Rattus norvegicus: one gene and its partners. Each later gene encodes a partner of the first gene's protein in a complex. Links are inferred from orthologs where the notes say so. Each region holds a gene or a part of one and is shown in the gene's direction. Other genes may lie near its edges.

Region 1 (4,013 bases):
CACCCAGGGGTGATGATTACTTTAATTACAATGTTCAGCAGACAAGCACAAATCCACCTTTGCCAGAACCAGGGTATTTCACAAAGCCTCCACTTGTAGCTCATGCTTCAAGATCGGGAGAATCAAAGGTTATAGAATTTGGAAAATCCAATTTTGTTCAGCCCATGCAGGGTGAAGTAATAAGGCCACCTTTGGCAACACCAGCACATACAACACAGCCAACTCCCTTTAAATTTAACTCAAATTTCAAATCAAATGACGGTGACTTCACATTTTCATCACCACAGGTAGTGACACAGTCTCCTTCAACAGCTTACAGTAACAGTGAAAGTCTTTTAGGTCTCCTGACCTCAGATAAACCTTTACAAGGAGATGGCTATAGTGGACTAAAACCAATATCAGCTCAAACTGGTGGGTCTCGGAATACATTCAGTTTTGGAAGCAAAAGTACACTTACAGAAAACATGGGCCCAAATCAGCAGAAAAATTTTGGTTTTCGTCGAAGTGATGATATGTTTACTTTTCACGGTCCAGGAAAGTCCATATTTACAACACCTACTTCAGAACTGGCAAATAAAAGTCATGAAACAGATGGAGGAAGTGCTCATGGAGATGAAGAGGATGATGGTCCTCACTTTGAGCCTGTGGTACCTCTTCCTGACAAGATAGAAGTAAAAACGGGTGAGGAAGATGAAGAAGAATTCTTTTGCAATCGTGCAAAGTTGTTCCGTTTTGATGGTGAATCCAAAGAATGGAAGGAACGTGGGATAGGCAATGTAAAAATACTAAGGCACAAAACATCTGGTAAAATTCGCCTTCTGATGAGACGAGAGCAAGTATTAAAGATCTGTGCAAATCATTATATAAGCCCCGATATGAAACTGACACCAAATGCTGGCTCAGATAGATCTTTTGTATGGCATGCCCTTGATTATGCAGATGAATTGCCCAAACCAGAACAGCTTGCAATTAGATTCAAAACTCCTGAGGAAGCAGCACTATTTAAGTGTAAATTTGAAGAGGCCCAGAACATTTTAAAAGCCTTAGGAACAAATGCCTCTACAGCAGCAAATCATACTCTTAGAATTGTCAAAGAACCTGCAACTCAGGATAACAAGGACATTTGCAAATCTGATGGTGGAAACTTGAACTTTGAATTCCAGATTGTAAAGAAGGAAGGGCCTTTCTGGAATTGTAACAGCTGCTCGTTTAAGAATGCTGCAACTGCTACGAAATGTGTATCATGCCAAAATACAAAACCAACGAATGGCAAAGAGCTCCTAGGTTCACCATTAGTTGAAAATGGCTTTGCTTCTAAAACTGGCCCAGAAAATGTTCAAGATCGATTTGCATTGATGACTCCAAATAAAGAAGGTCACTGGGATTGCAGTGTTTGTTTAGTAAGAAACGAACCCACTGTATCTAGGTGCATTGCATGTCAGAACACAAAGTCTGCTAACAAAAATGGGTCTTCCTTTGCTCAAACTTCTTTCAAATTTGGCCAGGGAGATCTTTCTAAGTCTGCTGACAGTGACTTCAGGTCTGTGTTTTCTAAAAAAGAAGGTCAGTGGGATTGCAGTATATGCCTAGTCCGAAATGAAGCAAGCTCTACAAAATGTGTTGCTTGTCAGAACCCAGCAAAACAGGCTCCTGTCTCATCACCTGCTTCTTTTAAGGCTGGCACTTCAGATGTAAGTAAAACTTCAAAGAGTGGATTTGATGACATGTTTGCTAAGAAAGAAGGACAGTGGGATTGTAGTTTGTGCTCAGTGAGAAATGAAGCAAATGCTGTAAAGTGTGTTGCTTGTCAGAATCCAGTTAAACCCAGTTCATCTACCACTGTTACAGTACTTCCCTCTTTCAAGTTTGGTACCTCAGAGATGACTAAGCCTCCCAGGAGTGGATTTGAGGGCATGTTCGCCAAGAAGGAAGGACAATGGGATTGCAGCTTGTGTTTTGTCCGAAATGAAGCAAGTGCTTCTCAATGTATTGCTTGTCAGAATCCAAATAAGCAGAATCAGCCTACATCTGCTGTATCAGCTCCTGCCTCTTCAGAGACAAGCAAATCTCCAAAGTGTGGTTTTGAAGGCTTGTTTACCAGAAAGGAAGGCGAGTGGGAGTGTACTGTTTGTTCTGTACAAAATGAGAGCTCTTCCCTAAAATGTGTGTCTTGTGATGCCTCCAAGCCAACTCATAAGCCTATTGCAGAAGCTCCTTCAGCTTTCACAGTGGGCTCAAAGTCACAGTTAAATGAATCTGCAGGAAGTCAAGTGGGAACAGAATTCAAAAGTAACTTTCCAGAAAAGAATTTTAAAGTTGGCATATCAGAGCAGAAATTTAAATTTGGGCATGTGGATCAAGAAAAAACACCCTCCTTCACCTTTCAGGGTTCTTCTAATACAGAATTTAAGTCAATCAAGGATGGATTTAGTTTTTGCATTCCTGTATCTGCTGATGGGTTTAAGTTTGGCATTCAGGAGAAGGGAAATCAAGAGAAGAAGAGTGAGAAACATCTTGAAAATGATCCTGGTTTCCAAGCTCATGATACTAGTGGTCAGAAGAATGGTAGTGGTGTGGTCTTTGGTCAGACAAGCAGCACCTTCACCTTTGCAGATCTTGCAAAGTCAACTTCAAGAGAAGGATTTCAGTTTGGCAAGAAAGACCCTAATTTCAAGGGATTTTCAGGTGCAGGAGAAAAATTATTCTCATCACAAAGTGGCAAAGTGGCTGAGAAAGCAAATACTTCTGATCTTGAGAAAGATGACGATGCCTATAAGACCGAGGACAGCGATGACATCCATTTTGAACCAGTAGTGCAGATGCCGGAAAAAGTGGAACTTGTAACAGGGGAAGAAGATGAAAAAGTTTTGTATTCTCAAAGGGTGAAATTATTTAGATTTGATGCTGAGATAAGTCAGTGGAAAGAAAGAGGTTTGGGGAACTTAAAAATTCTCAAAAATGAAGTCAATGGTAAACTAAGAATGCTGATGCGAAGAGAACAAGTACTAAAAGTTTGTGCCAATCATTGGATAACCACTACGATGAACCTGAAGCCTCTCTCAGGGTCAGATAGAGCATGGATGTGGCTAGCCAGTGATTTCTCAGATGGCGATGCTAAACTGGAACAATTGGCTGCAAAGTTTAAAACGCCAGAACTAGCTGAAGAATTCAAGCAGAAATTTGAGGAGTGTCAAAGACTTCTCTTAGACATTCCACTTCAGACACCCCATAAACTTGTAGATACTGGCAGGGCTGCTAAATTAATACAAAGAGCTGAGGAAATGAAGAGCGGACTGAAAGATTTCAAAACATTTTTGACAAATGATCAAGCAAAAGTGACTGAGGAAGAGAACACAAGTTCAGGTGCAGATGCTTCCAGTGCCTCAGACACTACAGTCAAGCAAAACCCTGATAACACTGGGCCCGCCTTAGAATGGGATAACTATGACTTACGGGAAGACGCCTTGGATGACAGTGTCAGCAGCAGCTCAGTTCATGCTTCTCCATTGGCAAGCAGCCCTGTGCGGAAAAACCTCTTCCGCTTTGGTGAGTCAACTACAGGATTTAACTTCAGTTTTAAATCTGCTCTGAGTCCATCTAAGTCTCCTGCCAAGTTGAACCAGAGTGGAACTTCAGTTGGCACTGATGAAGAGTCTGATGTTACTCAAGAAGAAGAGAGAGATGGACAGTACTTTGAACCTGTTGTTCCCTTACCTGATCTAATTGAAGTATCCAGTGGTGAGGAAAATGAACAAGTTGTTTTTAGTCACAGAGCAAAGCTCTACAGATATGATAAAGATGTTGGTCAGTGGAAAGAAAGAGGCATTGGAGATATAAAAATTTTACAGAATTACGATAATAAACAGGTTCGCATAGTGATGAGAAGGGACCAGGTATTAAAACTTTGTGCCAATCATAGGATAACTCCAGATATGACTTTGCAAACTATGAAAGGGACTGAAAGAGTATGGGTGTGGACTGCATGTGATTTTGCAGATGGAGAAAGAAAAATA
Region 2 (4,013 bases), on another chromosome or scaffold:
TTAGTTTATTAGTCATTAATTTTTTGTCGTATTAGGGTATCTTTATTGAACCTTCCTATTTTCAAGAGTAAAAAATATTATTATTAATAATTAGTCAAGCCTAATTGCTTGTCAAGGCTTCCAAGGCAAGTGCTTTACCACAGAGCTACATCTCAGCTTGTAAGAAAAGTACTAGTATTTTACTAAATTTGTCTCTTTCCCCCCTCTGTTTATTTTACAAATTAGGATTCTCTGTAGTAGATAATAGAGTTCAAACCCAAGAAGAGAATCTTGGTGCTGCACAAAACTATAAATTTTATTTAGATGTTAAATACTGACAGACATCATCAAGACCGTGACATGTAGTTGTCATCTGTCTTTGTCTTCATTAATCTAGAATATTTTTGAAAAGACGAGTTAGTTACTGTATAGAATGCACAGCGCTAAGAGATTGTCCTGGGTGGGTCTAGATTCTGGTTATTCCTGGTTATCCACTGAAGGAGGGTTGAGCTCATCTTAGGGCTCAAGTGGAACTTATCCTGTTTTTTTTTTTTTTTAAAGATTTATTTTTTATTTTATGTATATAATAAGTACACTGTCACTGTCTTCAGGCACACCAGAAGAGGGCATTAGATCCCATTACAGATGATTGTGAACCACCCTGGTTGCTGGGAATTGAACTGAGGACCTCTGGAAGAGCTGTCAGTGCTCTTAACCACTGAGCCATCTCTCCAGCCCTCTCCTGTCTATTTTTGATCCCATTAGCATTATTGAGAATTTTTGCCTCAAGCTGTTTTTGATTGCACTGTGGTAGACTTTTAGTTCTATTGTTCTTTTTCCATCTATTGATTGGCCCTTTGCTGTAGAGAATTTTCTGTGTTTAACTGAATCCTTAATTTTAGAGTTGCTTCTTTGATGCTTATCTTCCCCTGTATTTGCCTTTGAATGGATTCTGTGTCCTTTTATTATGCCCCATCAGTTTTGGGTATCTTATTTTTTTATATTGCAAGGTAATTCCGAATCTTGTACATTTCTGGTTCTCTGATAGTTCTGATGAGTTGGGAGTACTTTATATCTCAGATTCTGTCCTTGTAAAGTTGTCTATCATTTAGTACAGCAAAAAGGAAAGTTGTCCCCTAAAAGTCAGTGTGACCTTTGGACTAGTAGATGTGTGACATTTTGTATATATGCTCATATTACAGTGCACAGTGCAGTTGTGACCTTTGGTTAGCATTCAAACACAATGTCTAAATTACATATACCAAGGCCATTAGAAAATCAAATTTTTAATTTCAAATAATAAAATTTATAAGTAAAAGGATGTTAAGAGAGTTTGAATCTATGGATGTAGCTTTCAGTGGTGGAAGTACTTGCCTTGCATTTGATAAGGCTGAGTTAATCACAGCACTGAAAAAAAAAACTAAGCCAGAAATGCTCACCTGTGATCTCTGCACTTGATGGGTGGAGGCAGCGGGAACTAGATCTCAAGTTCAGTCTGAGCTGTATACGGAGTTCGAGGCACTCCTCATTATTACCCCACTCCCCAAATAATTGTCATTTTTTAAATAAAATCCTCATACTATTTTTTTCTTTCAGACTGTAGATGAAAAAAATATCTCAAGACAAAATAGAGAGCAAGAAAGGTAATGTCATCATATACTGCAAATGGATTTCTTTATATTTGTAGGGTTCATATTTACAATAGCCTTGAAGATAAAGAAAATTGAAACGTATACTTAGGTGGTGAGCGAGATGCTCAGCAGGTCAGGGTACTCTACCAAACCTGAAACCTGTGTTTAGTCCCACGTAGTGGAAGGAGAGACCTGACTGCCAAGAGCTTTCCCACTAACCTTCACAAGCTGCCCATACTAAGATCATGTGTGCTTACATGCCCATGAATGTATGAATACATAAATAAATGCAGAAGAAATTTCAAAGTATATTTGGCTATACCCTAATTGTTTTGTTAGCTGATCTGGTGTTTGAATATTTAACAGTTTCTGCAACAAAATATTGAAATTGTTCTAATTTTCTTTTTTTTGTTTGCTAGTGGCTTTTCATACCCCAATTTCAGTATTCCTGCAGCCAATGGTTTATCTTCTGGAGTAGGTGGTGGAGGTGGCAAGATGAGAAGAGAGAGAACAACACATTTTGTTGCTTCTAAACCTTCAGAGGAGGAGGTAGGCTCACATTTTATAGAACTTTGAGAGGGTCGGGGTGAAGTAAGGCCTATAGGAATGGGGCTTGAAGATTTGGAGTGAAGAGTATCGACCATTGAAACCATCCTTTCGACCATTGCTCTAATACCCAGCCCAGAGGCCTCAACTTCACGAATTGGGTAAAATAACTTTAAAAAACCCCTCCACCTTTTTATTTTATGTATTTTTGTATGTGAGATAATTCCCATCGACATTATTGGATTCTCTGGTTGCTGCCTTCGGGTTTTGCTTGTTTCTCAAGTGTACATACGATTAACACTGTGTACTCTCTCTGCGATGGTTCATGTTTAATGGAACAATGGAATTTACATTTCTCTGCTGTTTATCCTTTGTGCAGATTTACTACAATTAGTCCATTCTCTCATCAGGGTACATTTGGGCTGATCCCCAGTATGTGCTAAGGTGAATATTGATACACTTCTCCTTTGCCATGTGCAGTTTGGTCTGGAGGATATTTACCAGGAATGAGGTTTTTGGACTACAGGATTTGACATGTCTTTAAATGTGTTGTTGGTCTTGGCTATTATTCTCTTCACAACACTCCATGTGATCATAGATGGATCTTAATTTTTAAAATTTTTCCTTACTAGCATTTGGTTTTGGTCCATTTCTAGTGTGATAGCTAGAAAAAAAGTCACCCGGGCTTTATTTTGCGTCTTGTTTCATGGGAAGGAGGAATCTTTTGTATGTGTTTTGTGACCATTTAGGTTTGTCTTTTATTATTTTCCTATTAATTAGGATGAGTTCTTGGACTGGTGAGGTAGCTCTGGGTAGAGGTGCTGCTGCCAATCTGGTGACTTTAGTTTCATCCGTTCCCATGGTGGAATAGGAGGTCTGAGTCTGCGGGTTGTTGGTTAACCGCCACATGTGTGTGTTTACATGTGCACACACACAAACACACACAGAAGTAGGTAAATTTGAAAAAGAATTGATCTCTAGGTATTGTTTAGATATAGAACATAGAGACTAATTGAAGATTGGTTAAATTGACTTTCTGTCTAGAGATTGCTCATTTTATTTATTTATTTTAGCTACTTTTTGAGTTGGAACATCCCGTTTCAGTCTTCTTAAAATTGATTTCATCCAAGCTAAATCATTTTAGGCTTTCACCACCTTCTAAGATGTTCAACTTACTTGCTCCTTTAATTGGAATGTAGGGCTTTATAAACTTTTATGTGTAGGGGTGCTTTGACTGCGTGTTATTTCTTTGCACCACACACATGCAATGCCCATGGAGGTTTGAAGAGGGCGTTGCAGTCCTTCAAATTGGAGCCATGGATAGTTGTGAACCACCATCTAAGGTTGGGAACTGACTGAACTCAGCCCTCCTGCAACAGCAGCCAGTACTCTTAACAAGGCAGCCATCTTTCCAGCCTTGGGGACTTAATACTTTGACTTACTTGTTTCCAGTTACAATTTCTCATTATGTTTATTGTATTTTAAAGTTTAAAACTTATATTTCATTAATAGGGATTTTTTTTCTAGTATGTGATTGTGGTCACATGTGTGGAGACCATTGGACAGCATCAGGCATTGATCTTTGTCTTCCTCTTTGTTTGATACAGGATCTCTGTTGTTTGCTGTGTTCATGCCAGGCTAGCTGGCTGGTAACTGCTGGGAATTCTCATCTATGCCTCCCGGTTTGTTATGGGAGCAGGGGGATTACCAGATATTTGCTGCCTGTGGTTTTATGAACTCAGGTCCTCACACTGGTCAAAAGAGCTTTTTCCCACTGAATTATCTTCCTCAGCTCAGTGTTTGTTGTTTGAAGTTGAATTTAAAATCTGTCAGTGTTTGCTTTTATAGATTTTTGTG
Region 3 (4,013 bases), on another chromosome or scaffold:
GGTGGTTGCCTGCAATGCTCCACATGGGGGTGTGGGAATGAACATCAGGTGCTTTTTTTTTTAAAACCTTCTAAGCACTCTCAGAGGCTCCATGTCTAAGGATTTCAAGTTTGAGTGAGGCTTCTTGTTGTAAAATTGTAAAAATAAAAAGCTGTCTTTTACCCTCATTAGATCCAGCACTATAGACGGCAAAGCGGCTCACCGGCTCTGCTCCATCCCATATCACACAATCAGGGGTCTCTCTCTGACCCTGGCAACAATCTCTCTGTCCATCTAGTTCCCAAGGCAGGCTTCATTCACCATGCCAGAAACACACATCCCATCCGTGGTGCCCCAGTCTCTCTGCTGACACATACTCTCCCAAACTCAAATCTCCACAAGGAAGAACACACAACACCACCTATGATCCAGTTGATAAAATATAATTGAACACCTAAACATGCAAAGCCCTGTACACACCCATCCCTTAAGAACATTCATAACAACCTGTAAATACACAGAGTGGAATCTTTACATCAGCCTCCATGTTCTCTCCACGGCTTCCTCTCCTTTGTCCTTCCATTCCAGTCTCCTTTTTCCCTCAAACTTCCGCCCATCCTTCTCTTCCAATGACAGGTTTTGTTCTATCTTGTACCTGCCTTCACCTGTGTGACATGTTACAGAGGCCGGCCTATACATAGCAGGGTGTGGGGGTTCGTGCTTGTTCAAGGGTCAAGCAAGACAAAGCACAGACTTCTGTGGGCCACACCAGAGTTGAAATCCCAGCATTTAATCAGTGTGTGGCTGGGTTAGCCCAGGATTTAAGGACTACAGGGTTACATGTCTCAGAAAAGGATAATAATAGTGGTGGGGAGGGTGGGGGCTGGTGAGGGTGGGTGTAGGGGTGGTGAGGGTGAAAACTGGAGGATGCTATTTCTGGTACAATTAGTAAATTGCTTTCTTTTGTTTCAGTCACAGTGAAGAAAATCAGATGTTTACTTCTGTAAATGGGGGGGTTGTTTACGTTGTTGTGTAAATGCTTGTCCCCAGGATTAGACTCAGGTCGTCAATCTTAGCTGCAAATGCTCCAACACTGTGGTCATAAAAGTATTTTATCTGATGAGTAGAATAAGATGAACCCCCAATTGTTGTTCTCAAAACAAAAAAGATTAACAGGTGAGCATTGTGAGCTGGCTGTTCACAAACTAACCACCAAGGATACGCAGGGTCTATAACTGAATTTCTTTTTCCTTTTTTTTTTTTTTTTTTTTTTTCCTCCCCTGGAGCTGGGGACGGAACCCAGGGCCTTGAGCTTGCCAGGCAAGGGCTCTACCAGTGAGCTAAATCCCCAACCCCCTGAATTTCTTTATAGCATTCCTAACCTTAGTTATGTTAATTATCTCCTTAAGACACTGGGGGGTGTAGAAATGGTATGGGCATCATGGTTCAAGTCAGCCTCATTCAGTATAGCGGATATCATAGCTGATATGTAAGTGAACATTTTCTCTTTGACCGTTGTCTAGTCTTGCTCCTGCAAAGGATGTACTGCACAGTGGTCTCTAGCTAATGTCAGTTTTCAAGTTCTTTAGTCGTACCTTTGAACATTTTATACTTTTGGTTATTTTATTTTATAATGAGCCCTAGTCAGGGTCTCAAGTCCATTGGACATAGTGATAATCTTGAGAAAGTTACCACAGGTGCCTCCCATACCCCGTTTACTGAGCTGTGGCTTACTTTTTGCTTAGTGTGCACAGGCTTGTCCCTGTAGTGAACATCTGTGATGCAACACAGGAAGGTCAGAAGTTGAAGGTCTTCTTCAGGTGCAGAGCACCTGGATCTCTGATACAAAAAAAAACATGTGCCCCTTAAAGATTTCAGTATTTTGAGTATATTGTATTTCATACATAATAGGCTGGCTGTATTATTACATTTATATTTATTTGCATAAAGTTGCTTTGTTTTGTTTACATTTGTTTTTTTGTGGGAATGGTATTTGACTGCATGCATGGACATGTGTCACCTGAGTGTCGCTGGGAATTGCTACTTGTGAGTGTTGGGAGAAGAGTCTGGGTCCTCAGCAAAAGTCCCAAATGCTTTTATCCACCATCAACTCTCCAACCCGTTCCCCTTTGTCATTTTTAAATAAAACATTTCTTGTGTTTAACTTCGATATTTTTTCTTTTAATAAAATAGTTCCTGAATGTTCCGATGTTCCGAAACGTGTCTCTAAAGTGCCTCACGGAGATTGCTGGTGTGAGTGTGAGCCAGTATGAGGAGCAGTTTGAAACTCTGTTTACACTTACAATGATGCAGCTAAAACAGGTACATACCACTGCCCTGAAATTGTTAGATTCATAACCAACAGCAGTGCAATGCCAGATAAGCAGATTAAAAGGCGAGCTTTAAGTTAAACCATCAGTCACTACAGATCAGCCATGATGTGGTGTGTGTGTTACATGCAATTCTAGGTGGAAATTTTTATGTTTTCTTTTAAAAATATTGTTTTACTGATACCGTGATATAGTTCAGATTTGTTGTTCCGAGTGTAAAAGGACTTTTTAAACCCCAGTATGATTCATCCGGATGCACGGTTACAGGTTTGTTGTCTTGAGAGAAAGTCTGATAGAAAAACTATAAAATCAATCTGGACTGACCAGCAACAAATCTGAGATAGTATGTTGTGTGTCAGTTGCAGACGGCTCTTGCCGTGTTAGGGCTTCCACTTTATTTGATGCTTCTATGATATGTAGATTGATGATGGTTTCAACTTGCAGATGCTTCCTTTAAACACTAATATCCGACTTGCATATTCGAATGGGAAAGATGATGAACAGAACTTTATTCAAAATCTCAGTCTGTTTCTCTGCACCTTCCTAAAGGAGCATGGTCAACTTCTAGAGAAAAGGCTGAATCTCAGGGAAGCACTCATGGAGGTAGGTCTGCTTCTTGACATTTATTTCTACAAGAGATGATTTTGACTATGAGCCCGTTACATCATGGATTTTGGAGACAGGGTCCCTGTATGTCCTCCTGCCTGGCTGTCCTTGAACTCAACTGTGTAGAGCATGTTGACCTTAAACTCAGAGGTGTACTTGCCTCTGCCTCCCACATGCTGGCACTGTATGCATGTACTGGGCTCTTTTTTTGGAGACAGGTTCTCATACTCTTTTCTGGGTGTTTGGAGCTCAGTAGAGCATTTTAGTGTTGAACTACTGGGAACTCATTTCTTAGCTTCCAAGTACTCATATCACTGGTATAAAGCATGTCTTGTTTCAAAACTAGATTTCTAAATACTGGCCTGATATTTATTGTTGGGTGTGTTTCTATGCTAAGCATCACCACCATGTCTGGATTTCTGTCTTGTGATCTAAAGTTTTCTAATTTAAAAGTATAAAAATTGCCAAGTGTAGTAGTGTAAACCTAATCCCAGCCCTCTGAATTCTAGATAGAGCATGTGGGGCACACGGGAAACCCTGTCTCAAAGAACAAAGTAGCATATATTTTAGCATGTTCCAAATCCAGTTCAGCTAACAGTAATATAGTTTTCAAACATTTTCACTATCTCCACAGCATATCGTGTGCCCATGAGATCATTACTGTTATATCAGGTCTCATAGGTCCAAATCCATTGCTTTATGTCTCTGGATTTGTCTGTTACTTTTATATATATGATATGATACATGACCTTTTCAACGTATATTTTAGTATGTTGTATCTCTAGTCTTTTTTTTTTTTTTTTTTCCTTTTCTTTTTTTTTCGGAGCTGGGGACCGAACCCAGGGCCTTGCGCTTCCTAGGTAAGCGCTCTACAACTGAGCTAAATCCCCAACCTTAGTATGTTGTGACATTACTATGTTCTTTTATTTTTTCTTTTTCTCTTTCTTTTTTTCGGAGCTGGGGACCGAACCCAGGGCCTTCCACTTGCTAGTCCACTGAGCGAAATCCCCAACCCTGACATTACTATGCTCTTCATTGTTATATGATATTTCATTTTTTTTAAGATTTTATTTATTCATTTTATATATGATGAGTACA
Region 4 (3,485 bases), on another chromosome or scaffold:
TCCAAAAGGAGGGCAGTGTGCTTTGTGATGCTGCAGAAAAGCACAGGAAGACTCCCTCTAAGCCGCAGGTCAGGGCATTGGTGATAGGCCCACAGCCACCTGCCTGTAACTAAGTAAAGGTATGTGGCTAGCGGCCAGAATGCATCACCCTGCTTCTGTCGTGACCCAGTTCATGGGTTCTGCCAGGGAAGGGGCTTTGAATCTCCAACTTTCATTAGCTGGGTTTCCCCAGAACTAGGAGCCTGGTGTGTGTGGCAGTATACAGTAAAACCTGCCACCCTGCCACCCTGCCACCCTGCCACCGCTGTGTTGAGACACCAGGAGGCACTAACCCTGGGATGGGCCTGCAGAGTTGGGGTGGTTTGTTCTCAGCAGGACTTGAGACAAGTTCCACCTGCTTCAGTAAGGCACCGATGTCCTCAGATCTCTTGTTGCCACAGCCCCTCTGCTCCTACTGGGGGAAGCAGTTTGGCTGAGGGATTGAGGTTGGGGTTTTGTGCTTTTTGGGTCCTTGTGTTGGAGTTACTGACGTCCTATCTCCCTCTCTCCTCTTTTGGTTTGGTTTCTGGCTGCTCGATGCCTTCTCTCCTGTCTCCTTTCCTTTCCCCCTGTTCTGTTTGCCTCTGTTTTGCTCAGGTGGCTTCGGTGCTGCTCCAGTGTTTGGCAGCCCTCCTACTTTTGGGGGATCCCCTGGGTTTGGAGGGGTGCCAGCATTCGGTTCAGCCCCAGCCTTTACAAGCCCTCTGGGCTCGACGGGAGGCAAAGTGTTCGGAGAGGGTACTGCGGCCGCCAGCGCAGGAGGATTCGGGTAAGCTGCAGGTGGGACCTGGGGAAACCACAAACCTGTGCCAGCCCAGAGCAGCAGGGCCTGACGTTCCTATATGCTCTAAACCAGGCAGTGACCCAGAGGCCTTGCCTTTAAGTAGACAAAAAAGTTGCTGGAAGATTCCTTTTTCTCTAGGACGAGGCACATTGTAAGCAGGTTCTTAACATCGTAGGTAGATGTCAGCCACAACATTGCTGGCTGTCAGTGTGCAGCATGCAGGACATCCATACCCAGTTCCCTGGACCAGGTTTGCTGCAGCTGGGCCTGTGTCTCAGGTGGTCCTTGTATTAGAAAGTCCTGGGGCTGGGGATTTAGCTCAGTGGTAGAGCGCTTACCTAGGAAGCGCAAGGCCCTGGGTTCGGTCCCCAGCTCCGAAAAAAAGAACCAAAAAAAAAAAAAAAAAAAGAAAGTCCTGAAGGAAGAGTTAGGATTGTTCTCTTGAGATGTCTGTTAGCCTCTAGCAAACAACTCCTGTGTGTCCTGTTCTAGGACACCAACTGGATAACCCTCACTCAAGACTGCTGTTCCCTTGTTGTCAACAGCTGTTCCGTATCCTGCACACATCCGCATTAGGAAAATCCCATGGCGGGGATGGCTCAGCAGTTAAGAGCACTAACCAATCTTCCAGAGGACCCGGGTTCAAATCCCAGCTCACAATTGTCTGAAACTCCAAGATCTGATACCTTCCTATAGATGTACATGCAGTCAAGACAACAGTGTACAAAAAGAAAAATTAACTTGAAAAGGGGGGGGGGAGTTGCTTCTAATAGCCCTAGAACTTTAGTCTGGTTGCCAGAACACCAAGAAATAGCCTTTGCTACACTGTATCTTCTCAACTAAGTATGTCAGCAGAGTCCCTCATTTGAAGAAGATGCTGATGCCTAAAGCAGGCCCAGACAGGCTCTCGCCCTCGGTGCTCAGCTCAGAACAGAGATCTGAGGGTTAAGAGTAACATGGGTGTCGAACTTGAAACAGCAGCGCTTTATCCTGAAAGGAGAGTGTGGTCTTATCAATCTTGGCTCCACAGAGGGGCGCTAGAGCGCTCAGGGAGATCATGCAGGATGACAGGCACTCCTTAGTTCTTGTGGAGGCTAAGGAATCCTGGTCAATTTGCCTTGAGAAACTCCAAGAACAACAGTTTTTGGGTTGTTTGTTTGTTTGTTTGTTTGTTTGTTTTAAAGATTGATTTATTTATTATAAGTACACTGATGCTGTCTTCAGACACAGCAGAAGAGGGCATCAGATCCCATTACAGATGGTTGTGAGCCACCATGTGGTTGCTGGGAATTGAACTCAGGACCTCTGGAAGAGCAGTCAGTGTTCTTAACCACTGAGCCATCTCTCCAGTCCCCAAAGAACAATAGTTAGAGAACTTTCAGAAGAGAGAGTTGAGAACCACTGTAAGCCAGTGTTTCGTACAGTTCTGGATGGACTCCACCTGTGTACACTGGGGGTGTTGAGAGTTTGCTAAGTCACTTGAAAGCAGCTGTTTGCTTCACTGGTAGAGAAGTTTCCTCGGGATTGTGAGCGTAGCTCAGTTGTAGAGACTTACTGGGCACCCTCACAATCCTAAGTGAGTCCCAATACAACCTTCAAAATGCTAGCATTTCCCTGTGGGTAACGCGCACCTATTCAGGGTGCTGAAGGAAGAGGCTGTGGGATGTGAAGCCAGCATAGGCTACATAGGAAGACCTGTGCCAAAACAGTAAAGAATTCAGTAAAACCACAAAGCGTGAAGACCTGCGTCTACTCCCCAGCACCCACATAAGAAACCAAGTAGGGACAGCACGTGGTTGGGGTTCTCAGACTGAGGAGACGTCTCTGGGGCTTGCCAGCACACTGAAACTCAGCCCCAGGTCTCAGTGAAACCCTGCCTCTAAAAATAAGGTGGCTGGCTCCCCGACGCAGGACGCTTGAGGCTGGTCCACACTCACAGGAGTGTCTTAGTAACCGTGACTGGCTGGCACATTGTCTAGGGCTGGGAAACGTACCGACACAGACATTAAATCTCTGGAAAGACAGTTCTGTGCCATCCTAACTCTGATCCTGACAGAGATCTCATGTCACCCCTGAAGGAGGAGCACAGGGATAGCAGGACCACCAGGGAATAGTGCAGGAGAGGACCTGGTGTGTGAAGGGCGGGCACTGGGTTCTCCTTGTAACTTAGGAGTAGGTCCTGTCTCTTTTCCCAAGAAACACCAACTGCTCTCTCCCTGACCTCTAGGAGGCCCCCCCTGAACCCCTCAAGATGTTTTTGGTTATATCTTCAACCCCACTGGTCAACCAAATCTGGAGGGAAAACCCTTGAATGAGGATGGTTCTAGCTGAGGTAGCAGGAGGAAGAAGATGGCATCATTTCTACATTGTTTTCTATGTTTATTGATTGTTATAAAACACACGTCTAAGTGAAATAACATGGAAAGTCTCTCTCTCTCTCACACACACACACACACACACACACACACAAAATGGAAGCATGATGACTGCCTCCATGTACAGAGTCCCTCTACCAAGTAATTAAAAGCAGACAGGCCGGAGCTGGGGATTTAGCTCAGTGGTAGAGCGCTTGCCTAGCAAGCTCAAGGCCCTGGGTTCAGTCCCCAGCTCCGAAAAAAAAAGAAAAAAAAAACAAAACAAACAAAAAAGCAGACAGGCCAGC
Region 5 (3,975 bases), on another chromosome or scaffold:
ATAGTGGCATATTTTAGTAGTCACTGAAGAAACATTTCTAGTTGAAATCAGTTCATTTATGCAGTATAGTCATTAAGAACCCAAAATATGCTGAGGACTGTGGATTTGGGAGCTACTGGGGTAAACAGCACGTTTTTTCCTTACTGATTCAGTGGGGAAGACTGAGTAAGCCAGCCATACTACAGAGTAAAGGAAAAGATTGCCATGGGTTGTTGATTATATGCCACTCAGAGTGTAGCTCGGTATTCATAATCATAACCGAATGAAACGCACCCCTCACTTAAAATCCAGTCTGGAGCTGGAGAGATGGCTCAGTGGTTAAAATCACTTGCTGCCCTTGCAGAGGTTCAAGTCTTAGTACCCCCATGGTGGCTCATAGACATTAGCCAGTTCCAGGAGATCCAGTGCCCTCTTCTGCCCTCATACATGCTGATAAACATCATGCACAAAATATTATCTTTAACTTTCCCCTTCTGTTTCGCTGTTTTCCTCTTTACCGCATGTGTTGCACCTTACAGGGCTTAGCTGTTTCTTTTACAAACTTGACGTGTTTTTAGAAAGGTCTCAGCTGACAAATGGCCTACTTAAGGAAGTTTCCCCTACTTTGAAACAGACATCTGGTTTCTTTATTTCCGCAGCTTACAATTCTTTGAGGTTTTCTTGTCTGTAAAATTCAAGCAAAGATAGCAGAGGGTAAGAGTAGTTTGTGTTTAGGGATAAATTAGTGAATTCTGCAAGCCCTCTTCAAAGTGAGTTCTAGCCACTTGTAACCAAGCATGGTGACCTGAGTTCAGTCTCCAAAACTCACATAGTGAAAGGAGACATCCTTTGACCTGGTGACAGGAGAAAAGTAAATCTGGTTTGTTTTTAATGTCTCTGACAAGGTGTGGTGCTACATGCCTATAATATGCCATGATGAAACAAGAGGGTAATGGCAACTTTGGGACCAGCCTGGAATATACAAGTTCTAGGCCAGTTGGGGCTACATATCAAGACCGGATCTCAAAAAAACAAATGATTGGGCTGGAGAGATGGGTCAGTGGTTAAGCCACTGACTGCTCTTCCAGAGAGGTCTGAGTTCAAATCCCAGCAACCACATGGTGGCTCACAACCATCTGTAATGAGATATGATGCCCTCTTCTGGTGTGTCCGAAGACAGATACGGTGTACTTATATATAATAAATAAATCTTTAAAAAAAAAAACAAAAAACAACCCAACACCATGATTATAGAGAGTAACACAGTAGTGTGGCCAAGCTCCTAAGGTGTTTAAGGTGAGAAGTAATGGTGGTCCAAGCTTCAACAAGGAGTGTGGCACAGGAACGGAAGTTTGGTGTTGGGCTAGAACTGAGGACTTAGAAATCAATACATTGACTATAGTTGGAACCGTAGGGATGGATCAGGAGAGTGTATAAATGAGTAGGTCCTGCACTGTTTTAGAAATGGCTGTGACTTTAGAATAAGGAGTTGTAAATTAAATGCTGGTTTAAGTGTCACCTCTTACTACATGTGTGTTGCTGAGTGTCATACTATGTGTCTGAATCAGATGTATCCTATGTTTTTTGGTGTTGTGTAAAAATTATGTGACTTGTGAATCATATCTCAGGACCTGTCCAGCCCAAGGCTCTGTGTTCACTCCCTCATGTTCACTGTTAGTACCTTGCCTTAGCAACTAGGTGGTATGGTGGTAGCGTGGGCACTGCCACCAGCTCTTGGGTTTTCTCCCCTCCTATCATTGTCCTTAGGATTGTGTGTAATCTGTGAGTGGGATTGAGGTATACATGGGGCTTTTTGTTTTGGTGGTGGTAGTGTTTTGGTTTTGTTATTTGAGACAGGGTTTCTGTTTATAGCCCTGGCTGTCTTGAAACTCATTCCGTAGACCATGCATTGAAGTGCTGAGATGGAGGCATGTGAGGTAGAGGTTTGTTTTGTCCTTACTGGTTTCTGTTTTCCTGTAGGTGGATTGCTCAGGCTATGAACTAGAGCACTTACATACCAAAGTGACTTCACTGTGTAACCGGATAGAGCAGATTCCGTGCTACAATGCCAAGGATCGCCTGGCTCAGTCAGGTAAACATGTGGGCTCTGCTTGCTCATGGCCGTTACCCCGACACCAGTGCCTTGTTCTCAGTACTCACTCTGGTATTTCTCTCTAGATATGGCCAAGCGGGTAGCCAACTTACTGCGGGTAGTTCTGAGCCTTCAGCACACTCCTGACGCCACCTCCAACTCCACTCCGGACCCTCAGCGAGTCCCTTTGCGTCTTTTGGCTCCCCACATTGGCAGGCTCCCTATGCCTGAGGACTATGCCTTGGAGGAACTGCGAGGCCTTACCCAGTCCTACCTTCGAGAACTGACTGTTGGGAGCCAATGAGCCTGGCTCCTGCCCATCCGCACTCGCCACCACAGTCTCCCACATTGTTTTAATTGACACTCTGCCAATCTCTGGGAGTCCTCCGCTCCTCTTCGCTGCCCTTCGCAGCATCCTCTAGTTATTCAGGGGTTTTCATAATACTGAGCATATCCTACCATAGCTCATAAGGGCTTCTGGAACAGCAACAACAAAAAACACAGGTCTCCATTGATCAACCTCAAGACCATTCAGTTTTTTTCTTTTGAAAAATGGTCAATAAAACCTCTTTGGCAGAACCTCCCAAAACCCAGGGAATTCTTTTCCACACCCAGAGTTCTGACTCTCACCCCAGATATATGACTGACTGACCTTCCCTTACTACAGATTTGTCTCTCAAGTAGATTTCTCAGTTAACAGTGTGTTTGGGAATCAAGAGAGTTGGACCTTGTTCTTTGACATATTTAAGAAAGAAGGGCTGTCTACCATGGAGGCGGAGATCTTCAAGGCTTTTACTCATGCCTTGTATATCCTTTGGACACCATGCTATCATGTGCAGTGGCCCCAAGCTACAGAGAACAACTCTTGAGAAGCCCCAGAACTGCTCTGACCCTTGATCATCAGTCATTTTCCTCGATTTGCCAGAGGAGTTTAGATGAAGAATGTCAAGGGTGTTCCTCCCTGCCCTCCCATCTAGCCAAGAACATTTCTCAGAAGGTAAAGCTGTCACTGCGACAGGTCTGGCTGGGCCCAGGGGCAGATAGGGAAGGCCTTCACCACATTGCTGCTGGCTATGGGAAGTCCCAGGCACTAGCCTGAAAGAGCGGATATTTGGGGCTGTCACAGACAATATGGCCACCCCTGGGTCTTTATGCATGAAGATTATGTAAAGGTTTTTATTAAAAAATATATATATAAATGATCTAGATTATTTTCCTCTTTCTGAAGTACTTTCTTAAAAAAAAAATAAAATGAAATGTTTATAGTATTCCTGGTGGTTTTGTCTTTGTGTTTTGGGAACTCTGGAATCTTTAAGAAACAGATCCTGGGCTGGGGATTTAGCTCAGTGGTAGAGCGCTTACCTAGGAAGCGCAAGGCCCTGGGTTCGGTCCCCAGCTCCGAAAAAAAGAACCAAAAAAAAAGAAAGAAACAGATCCTAAGTTAAGAGAACAAGGGGGCTGAGGAGTGAGTTCAGCATATCAGAGCACTAACCACACAAGCCTGACACCCCAAGTTCACTTCTCAGAATCTTCATAAAAAGGCAAGCTGTTAGCACACCCCTGTAATCCCAGAGCGCTGTATGTGTCTGGCAGCACTCTCCAAGGACTTTTTACATGTATACAGTGTATTTGTCATACCTATCACTCCCACTCTCAATTCTCAGCATTATGGTTGTTTTTGTTTTGTCTGTCTGAGTTTATTACTATTTTACGTGTGTTGTGGTTTACTTGTATGTATATCTGTTCACCACATATGTGCCTAGTGCCTGTGGAAGCCAGAGGGCATCAGATCTCAAGAACTGGAATTAGGAACAGTTACGAGCCACTTTAAGGGTGCCGAGAATCAAACCTGGGTCCTCTTGGAGGAGCAGCCAGTGTTCTTAGCCACTAACCCATCTTCCAGC
Region 6 (4,013 bases), on another chromosome or scaffold:
ACTTCCCAATTTTGTTTTACTTTTCTTATTGACAGACTTTCTCAAAATTACCTTTTCTTTTTACTCAAATGAGGCGCCTTCTTAACCCACAATCCATCAAGAGCATCCGTGTGATATGCTAGTTTACTTTTCTAATTCACCTTAAAATAAAATCACCAGTGTTAGCATTCTGCAGGTTTTTATCTCCCTATCTGACATCTTCTGCTGGGCTGCCTGGTGGGAACTCCTGCTGTAGGAGTGCTGGTGACTGGGGGGTGTTTCAGGTAAACTACATAGTGACTGAGGGATGTCTCAGGTAAGCTGGCCTCTTTTCTCCTTAGGTCTCCATTTTGTCAGCCATGGAGCTTATTTGGAACCTGTGCGAGATTCTTTTCATTGAAGTAGCTCCAGGTAACGCCAGTTTGTTTGTTTCATGTAGCCTGTTAGGCCAGGCTAGCTCTGTATAGCATCACAGGGTCCCTGCCATACTCTGTCCTTCTTAGTTGCAGGGAATAAACCCCTCTCCAGTCAGGGCTTCTGCTTTAAATTCGTATCAGCGTCTGTACTTTGGGTGAGGGGAACATGCTGCAGATGAAGCTGGGATCTTTTGTGTGACAAGAGTCTCTCCTCAGCTGGACCTCTCCTCCTCCATCTTCTTGACTGGGTCCGACTGCACGTGTGCGAGGTGGACAGTTTGTCAGCAGATGTCCTGGGCAGTGACCACCCAAGCAAGCATGAGAGCTTCTGGAACTTGGTGAGTGTGCGGGACTGCAGTCGGCTGACTGGGAGGACCTGCTCCAGCTGCGGCTCAGCTCTCTGGGTGTGTGATTGTAGAGTAGGTTTTCCATCTTCCCTTCTGCTCCAGAGCAGTTAAAAACTAGTTTAGCATGGAGAGGGAGCTTGGTAAACTCCTGACCAGGAGGCTTTGTTTGTAGATCTGAGGGAGAGAAGGTATGAAGATACTAAGTGGCTGAGGAGACTGAGGAGAGGTGGGGTGCAGAAGACACAAGTGGTCATTTTGAGGTGGGAGGATACTCTCGGGCAGCAGTTACCAACCTGTCAGATCCTTACATTACTACTCATGGACAGCAGCAAGGAAATGACTCCGTGGCTGGAAGTCACCCCAGCATGAGCTGTGTGAAGGCTCATGCATTAGGAAGGGTGAGGTGCGCTGACAAGGGGCTTGAGGGCATTGTAGTGAATGCCCGCATAGCATCTGGGAGAGCAAGATCTCCAGCACCTCAAGAGGAGAAAGTATCCTGTTTGGTTTCTTCGTTGGATTATTTTGTTGAATTTATACATTTTAATTCACGGCTTCTTTGTGTAGGCTTATCTGCCCTACCAGGCTGCCCTGGAACCCACAGAGGTCCACCTGCCTCTGCCTCCTAACTGCTGGGATTAAAGGCGTGGCCACCACTGCCCCATTTTTCTTCCTCCTTGAGACAGGGTATCTCTGTGTAGCCCTGGCTGTCCTGTTACTAGCTTTGGTTTGCTTTTTGAGACAAGGTCTCTCTATGTAGCCCTGCTGGCCTGGAGCTCATTTCTAATCCAGGCTGGCCTCACCTCCTGAATGCTGGGATTATTTATGTGCAGACTGCGTCTGCTTTCTCATTAGCCTTGACACGGGGTCTTCATTACCTCGTATTTCAGAGGCAGTATAGCGACTCTCAGAACATAGGATAGTCAGGTACTGGAGGTAGAGTTTAGTAGGAGAGTACTTGACCAGCATGCACTGGTCCCTATGCCCACCACCACAAAAGGAACACAGTTGGCCGGGAGGGTGTGAGAGAAAGGTGGGCAGGTGGGTGATCTGGTGAAAGAGAGGACTGGTATGTGCTGACTAGGTCATGGAGATAGGAGTCTGGAATTCAAGGAGGGAAGTCTACCAGAAGGGGAAATTTGGGGGATTTGAGTACATACAATCAGGTGATGTGTGTGACTATAAGTGTTTTGTATATTTTACATAAATCCACAGTATAATCAGTTCATTGTTTATGGGCATTAGAGCTGCCCTGAACCAAACTGCTGAACCCTGAAGCATTGCTCATAGTTCCACTAAGCCTCTGGTCACCTTGTGTTTGGGGTGCTTATGCATGGTGAGAAAGCTTTCCTCTGTTACCGAGCTTCATCCCCAGACCCTCAGCACAGTATTATCAACTGGGGAGATGGCACGCGTATTAATGGTTGCAGTTATTTGGTGGTTGAAGTTGGAGTAGCACTTGAACTCAGGGTCAGAGACAGCCTGGGCAATATTGTGAGATCATGTCTCAGCCAGCACTGTACGTACCAACCTTTGGTTTTTTTTTTTTTTTTTTTGGTTCTTTTTTTTTTCGGAGCTGGGGACCGAACCCAGGGCCTTGCGCTTCCTAGGTAAGCGCTCTACCACTGAGCTAAATCCCCAGCCCCTTTTTTTTTTAAGATTTATTTATTTTATGTATATGAGTGCACTGTAGCTGTCTTCAGACACACCAGAAGGGGGCATCAGATCCCATTACAGATGGTTGTGAGCCACCATGTGGTTGCTGGGATTTGAACTCAGAACCTCTGGAAGAGCAGACAGTGCTCTTAACCACTGAGCCATCTCTCCAGTGCGCCCCCCCCCCTTTTTATTGTAAAGATTAATCAGTTTCAGATTATGGTAGCACTCACCTTTAGTCCCAGCTCACCTTTAGAACTCAAGAGCGAGACCGATCTCTGAGTTCAAGTCCAGCTTGTTCTACAGAGAGTTCCAGGATAGTCAGGGATATACAGAGAAATCCTGTCTCAACAAAGCAGCCAATCAGTCAATAAAAGATTAATGTGCTTTCAGTCATGGGTGTATATGTTATGCATGTGAACCATGTGTGTGCTTGGTGACTGCGTGGGCCAAAGAGGCTATCTGAGCCTGGAAAATTGGGGCTGTAGGTAACTGAACTGCCGTGTAGGTGCTGAATCTCGGTCCTCTGCAAGGACAGAGAGAACACTTAACTACTGAGTCTATTTTTTGTTGTTCATTTGTTTTTTTGCTCTTTTGAGACGGGAACTCAGATGGCCTTGACTGCCATTGAGCCAGGCATGAGCTTGAATGTCTGATCTTTCTGCTTACAAGCATTTGCCACTCTTTGAGTTTAATGTGATGTTGGGGATGACCAGGACCTGGTGGACATATCTAAGCTCATAGCATTGTGTGGTGTATGTTTCTGCTTACAGGAGGCCCCTGTGTGGGCCTGTGTTCACTTGTTTGTTTGCTTGTGTGAGTTTCTGATGTTTTGAGAGAAAGTCTCTTTTTTTTTTTTCTTTTTTTTTTTTTTCTTTTTTTTTTTTCTTTTTTCTTTTTTCTGGAGCTGGGGACCGAACCCAGGGCCTTGCGCCTGCTAGGCAAGTGCTCTACCACTGAGCTAAATCCCCAATCCCCTGAGAGAAAGTCTCACACCATGTTGGCCACTCATGGCAATTGTTCTTCAGCTTCTCAAATAGTAGGATTACACATGTAAGCCACCATGTTTGGCTCTCAGTAGGGGTGTGTGTGTGTGTGTGTGTGTGTGTGTGTGTGTGTGTGTGTGTGTGTGTTAAGGTGGACTGTGCTGCCACTGCGCTGTATTTCTGAGTGGACCTGCATGGCTGTGCCCGACTACTGACTCCTGTTTGCCCCTTGCTGTGCTGACCGCTGTGTGCCCCACACTGACAGGTCTGTACAGGATAGAACTTGTATAGAACTCAGGTCCTTGCTTACAAAATATGAGCTTTTCTGACTGGGTCATCTCCCAGCCTGGTTTCTTCTTTTCCACTGAAAAGGTTTGTGGCAGTTTTATACATGTTTGTGATGAAGTTTGGGGTTGCACGTACTGCTCAGCGATCAAGAGCACGTACTGGCTGCTCTCGCAAAGGACCAAGTTCAGTTGGTCACTACCTGTGTTGTGTGTTTGTAAGTTCAGTTCCTCTGTCCTCTGCAGGTACCTGCACTTGTGCACATACCCCAAACCCCATCTACATACATACATACATACATACATACATACATACATACATACATACACTTTAAGGAAAAAAATAGT
Region 7 (4,013 bases), on another chromosome or scaffold:
GGGGTAGAATCTATGTAGCGAGATGATAGACTATTTAAAAGTAATAATAGACTTTGAAGCTTTGGCCTCAGTCTTGAGGTCCTCCTTTAGCTCATTCCCTAACCCACTGTTCTCTTGCTGCTGCTCCCCTCCTCCACATAGCATGAGTTCTTCCTGTCCAGTGTCTTAGCTATTCGTTGTCATTGACCATCACAGATGGGGACTTTGTCTCATAGCTGGAGCGTCCTCATTTCTGACTTGTCTTTTACACCACCATTAATTCCTGTTGTTCTTGAATCCTTTGACTATGTTCGTTGCTCATAAGCTGTTTCTGGCTGTCCCCTGTATGCTAAGTAAAGCTTCCTCCGCTCAATGACCTTTGAATGCTACTGTCTCCACTTCCCACTTGTCCTTAGTTAGGAATTTCTTCTGCCCAGAGCCTCCCGGTCCAGACGGGGACACCTTCATCCCAGTCGTTGTCTCCACGTCCTTTCTTTCAGCTCTTCCTCTGTTCAGTAAGGGACCACTGACTTAGAAGACCTCACTGACTACTAACCCAGCTTTCCTTTCCTGGGACTAGCAGCGGTTTTCTGTGTAAACTCAGTCATCTGAAACTAATTGCACCGCAGCAGCTAATTATACCTGCTCCGCTGGGAATGCCGACTGCTTGCTTGTTTGCTGAGAAAGGATCTTTATATGTATCCCATGCTGGTCTCAAATGTATGACAGTCCTGTTTCAGTCTCTTGAGTGATCAGATTATACAGTTCCACTATGTCAACCATGGATGCCTGAGACTTTTATGCTTTTTATTGCTTTTATGCGCCAAGAGCATATCTGTGACATGTCTCTATATCCCTTATTTGAATGTTATTTGTATTAGTTTAAAATTTTTTACTATATGAAAATAACTACATGATGTGCAGACCCTGTCTCCAAACAAACACATAGCGTTTATGTTGAAGGAGAGAAAATAGTGCTTTCTTTGTTTCAGAATTCAGAAGTTGGAAATATATTTGTATGTGTTATGTAACAAATTATTATCTTTGTATTTAATGCATTGTTTTATGTATTTTTTGTAAACTCTTTAATTAGTTGGTCATATAAAATAGCAAAATGTCAATGAAAATAATTTCTAATTTCAAAATGAAAAACCAACATGGTGTCATATTCTTAACTTAGAGATTAAAAATACAGAATAATTGTGCTTTAGAAATCTATTGTCATCTTTTAAGATGGAAACTTTTTGATAAATCAATGATGCTTCTTTTGTAAGGAGCGCGTTACAATTTGTTTTTCCTTTTTAATCCAAAAGGTGGCAATGAGAGCCTTGGGTTTTGATGTGAAAAAGGCGGATGTATTGAAGATTCTTAAAGATTATGACAGAGAAGCCACAGGCAAGATCACATTTGAAGATTTTAATGAAGTTGGTATGTACTTAAGTCGTCTTTATACCCAGTACTTGTTGGAAAATTATGAGGTTTTTTTTTTTTTTATGTTTTCAAAGAGAAAAAATATTTCCAGCTCTACTGTGAGAATTAGTTTTGACTTGATGATTTCTTTAACAAAGAATTATTGTCAGTTTTTTGGGGGTTTATTAAAATTATGTCACTAAAGGGTGACCAAAATAGTTTTTGTCAGTACAATAGATAGCTTAATATCCTGACATTTAGGAATATCTGTGAAGACTGCTGTGCTTCGTGACTTTTGTTGGTACAGTGCAGAAGAGGGAAGTAGGACTTTGTGTCTTGGTGGGAGACGGGGACATGAAGTCCATCTTGTTAGGTTGACAGTTTGTTAGACTCTGTACTCCCAGTAACCTTGATCTCAGTGAGAGTGCGTGTTGTAAAGCTGAGGTGCTGGCCAGGCTGTCGTGAGGGATGTCTCGGCAGGATCGAAGCAGGAGAAGCTCAGAAATGCCACCTGAAGATGGTAGGAGCTTACTGTGATTGAGTCTTGGGTAGTAATTCTTATCAAGTTACTCAGGCTATATATACAGCTAAGGAGTTTTCAGTAGAACATTTTGGAAGGCTAGGAGTCGGCTACTGTAACTTAAAGCCAATGATACCATTTAGGGGTCATAATCTAAACATGTCATATAGTTATTTTTATATATTAAAAAAATTAAAACTAATACAATTATACATGCACCTAAACCCGCACATTTAAATATTAAAGAAGTAATGTAGGGAAGAAAAAGAAATGGTAATAAGAAGACAGAGGGACTCCCCCCCACCCCGCAATTTCTCCCTTGTTAGGAAACTCCTACCTAAAGTACAGGAGGCAGCAGTTCAAGGACAAATCTTTAGGGAGTAGTGTGCCTTTTTCAAAGGCAGACTGTCCCCACCCAGTCTGTAGGATTGTTTCCTTGAGGAGAGCATGAGCCACCTTTCTCCTCACAGTGTGGGTGGTCCTCAGGTCAATCACAGTACCCAGGTCATTTAACACAGGGCGTTTAGAGAAGCAAGGTGTCTGGACGTAGTGGAAATGATGCTTTCATGACAAAGCTAAAATGAAGGCACATTAAGCACCACAGTGGAGTGTTAGCACAGGCTACCCTGGACCCACATTCCAGGCTTCAGGTCTTGGTTCTGACTCTGACTGTGAAACTTTGTTAGTTTACTTGTCTGTGACTCATTTCCATGTATGAAATGGGGAACAGTGTACTGTGCTGTAGGTTTCTGGGAGGTAAGTGGGTGATTAGCATGTGAAATGTTAAAGACTGTAGTGGATAGTAAGAGCTACTAAATGTTGGTATTCTGATTAAGAATAATCCCAGCACTCAGGGTGAAGAAGTATCCCATTCTCTGTAAGTTTGAGGTCAGGCTACTCTGCATAAGGAACCCTAGGCCAGACGGGGCTATGAGACACTGTCTCCAAGCAAAACACATAGAGTTTGTGTCAGTGGAGAGAAAATAGTGCTTTCTTTGTTTCAGAACTCAGAAGTTGGAAATATATTTGTATTGTTGGGACATTAAAGCATTCTGTTCTATAATCTTATTGTTTTATTTTCTGTTTTTCATTTTGAAGGCTGCTTTAAGCATTATTCATAGTTTTGTGAACCCTATTTTTCATAAGTACAATTTTAAGAACTGTAGTGTTTACTATTGTACTACTTAGGAACAGACTTTCATATTACCTAAACCTTAGCATTATGGACGATGTGTTGTTGCCTAAGGACTCCGTCCCACAGATATCTCCATATCGGGATCTCCCAGTTAAGGGAAAAAAGGGATTACAGTACATTTAGTACAGTGGAAGCTAGAATCATTTGTCTGAGGCTAATGAGTAGCAGGTGTTTCAGGATTTTCTGCTTTTAAGGTAAGGTCAATAGAAGTGAAATGTTTTTACTTCATCTGTTCCTGGCTTGTACTTCTTACATTTTAAATCCTATCTCAAAGGAAATATTACAGTGTTTTCATTTTGATTATTTATCCAACACTGAAATTTTTGCATTTGGCAGGAGGAATGGGAGTTAAAATTACCAAGAAAGTGCATTGAGGAGCTTAGGATTTCAGGGTAGGTGACACTACATTTTGATTCTGTGTGAGAGACATTGTTATCTGGCGTCATGTTTGTGGACGCTGCTTCTCTGCCACCATGTGGTAGTTTAGACTGCGAGCTTAGGACTCCCGAAAGCCTAAAATGTTTCCTATCAGACCTTTTATAGGAAATGTTTATTAAGTCTTTACCCAGGGAATTTAAGTTTTTGCAAAGGGGATTTTTTTTTTAAACTTAAATCTTTAGGGATTGAAGATTTCCAAGAAGATTGTAGGAGTAGCTGAGATGCAGTCCAGACTTAGACGGTGACAAAGCAGAGTGGCACTAGGTGTTCAGCACCGGGAGAGGCTTCAGCTCATGCAGTCCCTTCTATGAGGGATCATCAGTGCACTGCAAAGGCAGCCTCAGTCAGACTGATCATTATACCTAGTGAAGTAAGATGGGACTTCAGTCAGCGGAGTTTAAGGAACGGGAGACTGTGTTTTACAATGGTAGCTGATGAGAAGATTGAAGATGAGCTGAAGGGGATTTTGGA

What was found.
Region 2: Ranbp2 (region 1) and Nup153 share a complex: the UniProt entries of both Homo sapiens proteins name them as parts of the nuclear pore complex. The link is inferred for Rattus norvegicus from reciprocal best matches to the Homo sapiens genes RANBP2 and NUP153.
Region 3: the proteins of Ranbp2 (region 1) and Xpo1 are in contact, whole or in part, in a cryo-EM structure (PDB 9B62), measured with the Homo sapiens proteins. The link is inferred for Rattus norvegicus from reciprocal best matches to the Homo sapiens genes RANBP2 and XPO1. Residues at the interface, in NP_006258.3 of Homo sapiens: Val2508, Val2509, Ser2510, Pro2511, Pro2512, Lys2513, Phe2514, Val2515, Phe2516, Gly2841, Phe2842, Gly2843, Ser2845, Thr2846, Gly2847, Leu2848, Ser2849, Phe2850, Ala2851, Leu2853, Ala2854, Asn2857, Ser2858, Gly2859, Asp2860, Phe2861, Ala2862, Phe2863, Gly2864, Ser2865; in NP_003391.1 of Homo sapiens: Trp60, Val63, Asp64, Leu83, Asn97, Gln98, Gly101, Ile102, Lys104, Tyr105, Val107, Gly108, Ile110, Ile111, Leu134, Phe149, Asp152, Ile153, Gly155, Ala156, Ser157, Arg158, Thr159, Ser160, Glu161, Leu163, Cys164, Asn167, Leu208, Phe211.
Region 4: Ranbp2 (region 1) and Nup214 share a complex: the UniProt entries of both Homo sapiens proteins name them as parts of the nuclear pore complex. The link is inferred for Rattus norvegicus from reciprocal best matches to the Homo sapiens genes RANBP2 and NUP214.
Region 5: Ranbp2 (region 1) and Nup98 share a complex: the UniProt entries of both Homo sapiens proteins name them as parts of the nuclear pore complex. The link is inferred for Rattus norvegicus from reciprocal best matches to the Homo sapiens genes RANBP2 and NUP98.
Region 6: Ranbp2 (region 1) and Nup85 share a complex: the UniProt entries of both Homo sapiens proteins name them as parts of the nuclear pore complex. The link is inferred for Rattus norvegicus from reciprocal best matches to the Homo sapiens genes RANBP2 and NUP85.
Region 7: Ranbp2 (region 1) and Cetn3 share a complex: the UniProt entries of both Homo sapiens proteins name them as parts of the nuclear pore complex. The link is inferred for Rattus norvegicus from reciprocal best matches to the Homo sapiens genes RANBP2 and CETN3.

What each region holds. Positions count from the first base shown.
Region 1 is NC_086038.1:27,016,079-27,020,091, forward strand, and holds part of Ranbp2 (E3 SUMO-protein ligase RanBP2), read left to right. Parts: coding exon 1-4,013. UniProt on the Homo sapiens protein: E3 SUMO-protein ligase which facilitates SUMO1 and SUMO2 conjugation by UBE2I. Involved in transport factor (Ran-GTP, karyopherin)-mediated protein import via the F-G repeat-containing domain which acts as a docking site for substrates.
Region 2 is NC_086035.1:18,205,678-18,209,690, forward strand, and holds part of Nup153 (nuclear pore complex protein Nup153), read left to right. Parts: intron 1-1,575; coding exon 1,576-1,622; intron 1,623-2,029; coding exon 2,030-2,159; intron 2,160-4,013. UniProt on the Homo sapiens protein: Component of the nuclear pore complex (NPC), a complex required for the trafficking across the nuclear envelope. Functions as a scaffolding element in the nuclear phase of the NPC essential for normal nucleocytoplasmic transport of proteins and mRNAs.
Region 3 is NC_086032.1:101,458,173-101,462,185, forward strand, and holds part of Xpo1 (exportin-1), read left to right. Parts: intron 1-2,172; coding exon 2,173-2,301; intron 2,302-2,753; coding exon 2,754-2,912; intron 2,913-4,013. UniProt on the Homo sapiens protein: Mediates the nuclear export of cellular proteins (cargos) bearing a leucine-rich nuclear export signal (NES) and of RNAs.
Region 4 is NC_086021.1:35,732,526-35,736,010, forward strand, and holds part of Nup214 (nuclear pore complex protein Nup214), read left to right. Parts: intron 1-636; coding exon 637-808; intron 809-3,485. UniProt on the Homo sapiens protein: Part of the nuclear pore complex. Has a critical role in nucleocytoplasmic transport.
Region 5 is NC_086019.1:165,905,769-165,909,743, reverse strand, and holds the end of Nup98 (nuclear pore complex protein Nup98-Nup96 proprotein), read left to right. Parts: intron 1-1,959; coding exon 1,960-2,071; intron 2,072-2,157; coding exon 2,158-2,375; 3' UTR 2,376-3,339; downstream 3,340-3,975. UniProt on the Homo sapiens protein: Plays a role in the nuclear pore complex (NPC) assembly and/or maintenance. NUP98 and NUP96 are involved in the bidirectional transport across the NPC. May anchor NUP153 and TPR to the NPC.
Region 6 is NC_086028.1:101,311,699-101,315,711, forward strand, and holds part of Nup85 (nuclear pore complex protein Nup85), read left to right. Parts: intron 1-320; coding exon 321-390; intron 391-611; coding exon 612-733; intron 734-4,013. UniProt on the Homo sapiens protein: Essential component of the nuclear pore complex (NPC) that seems to be required for NPC assembly and maintenance. As part of the NPC Nup107-160 subcomplex plays a role in RNA export and in tethering NUP96/Nup98 and NUP153 to the nucleus.
Region 7 is NC_086020.1:13,827,727-13,831,739, forward strand, and holds part of Cetn3 (centrin-3), read left to right. Parts: intron 1-1,292; coding exon 1,293-1,407; intron 1,408-4,013. UniProt on the Homo sapiens protein: Plays a fundamental role in microtubule-organizing center structure and function. As a component of the TREX-2 complex, involved in the export of mRNAs to the cytoplasm through the nuclear pores.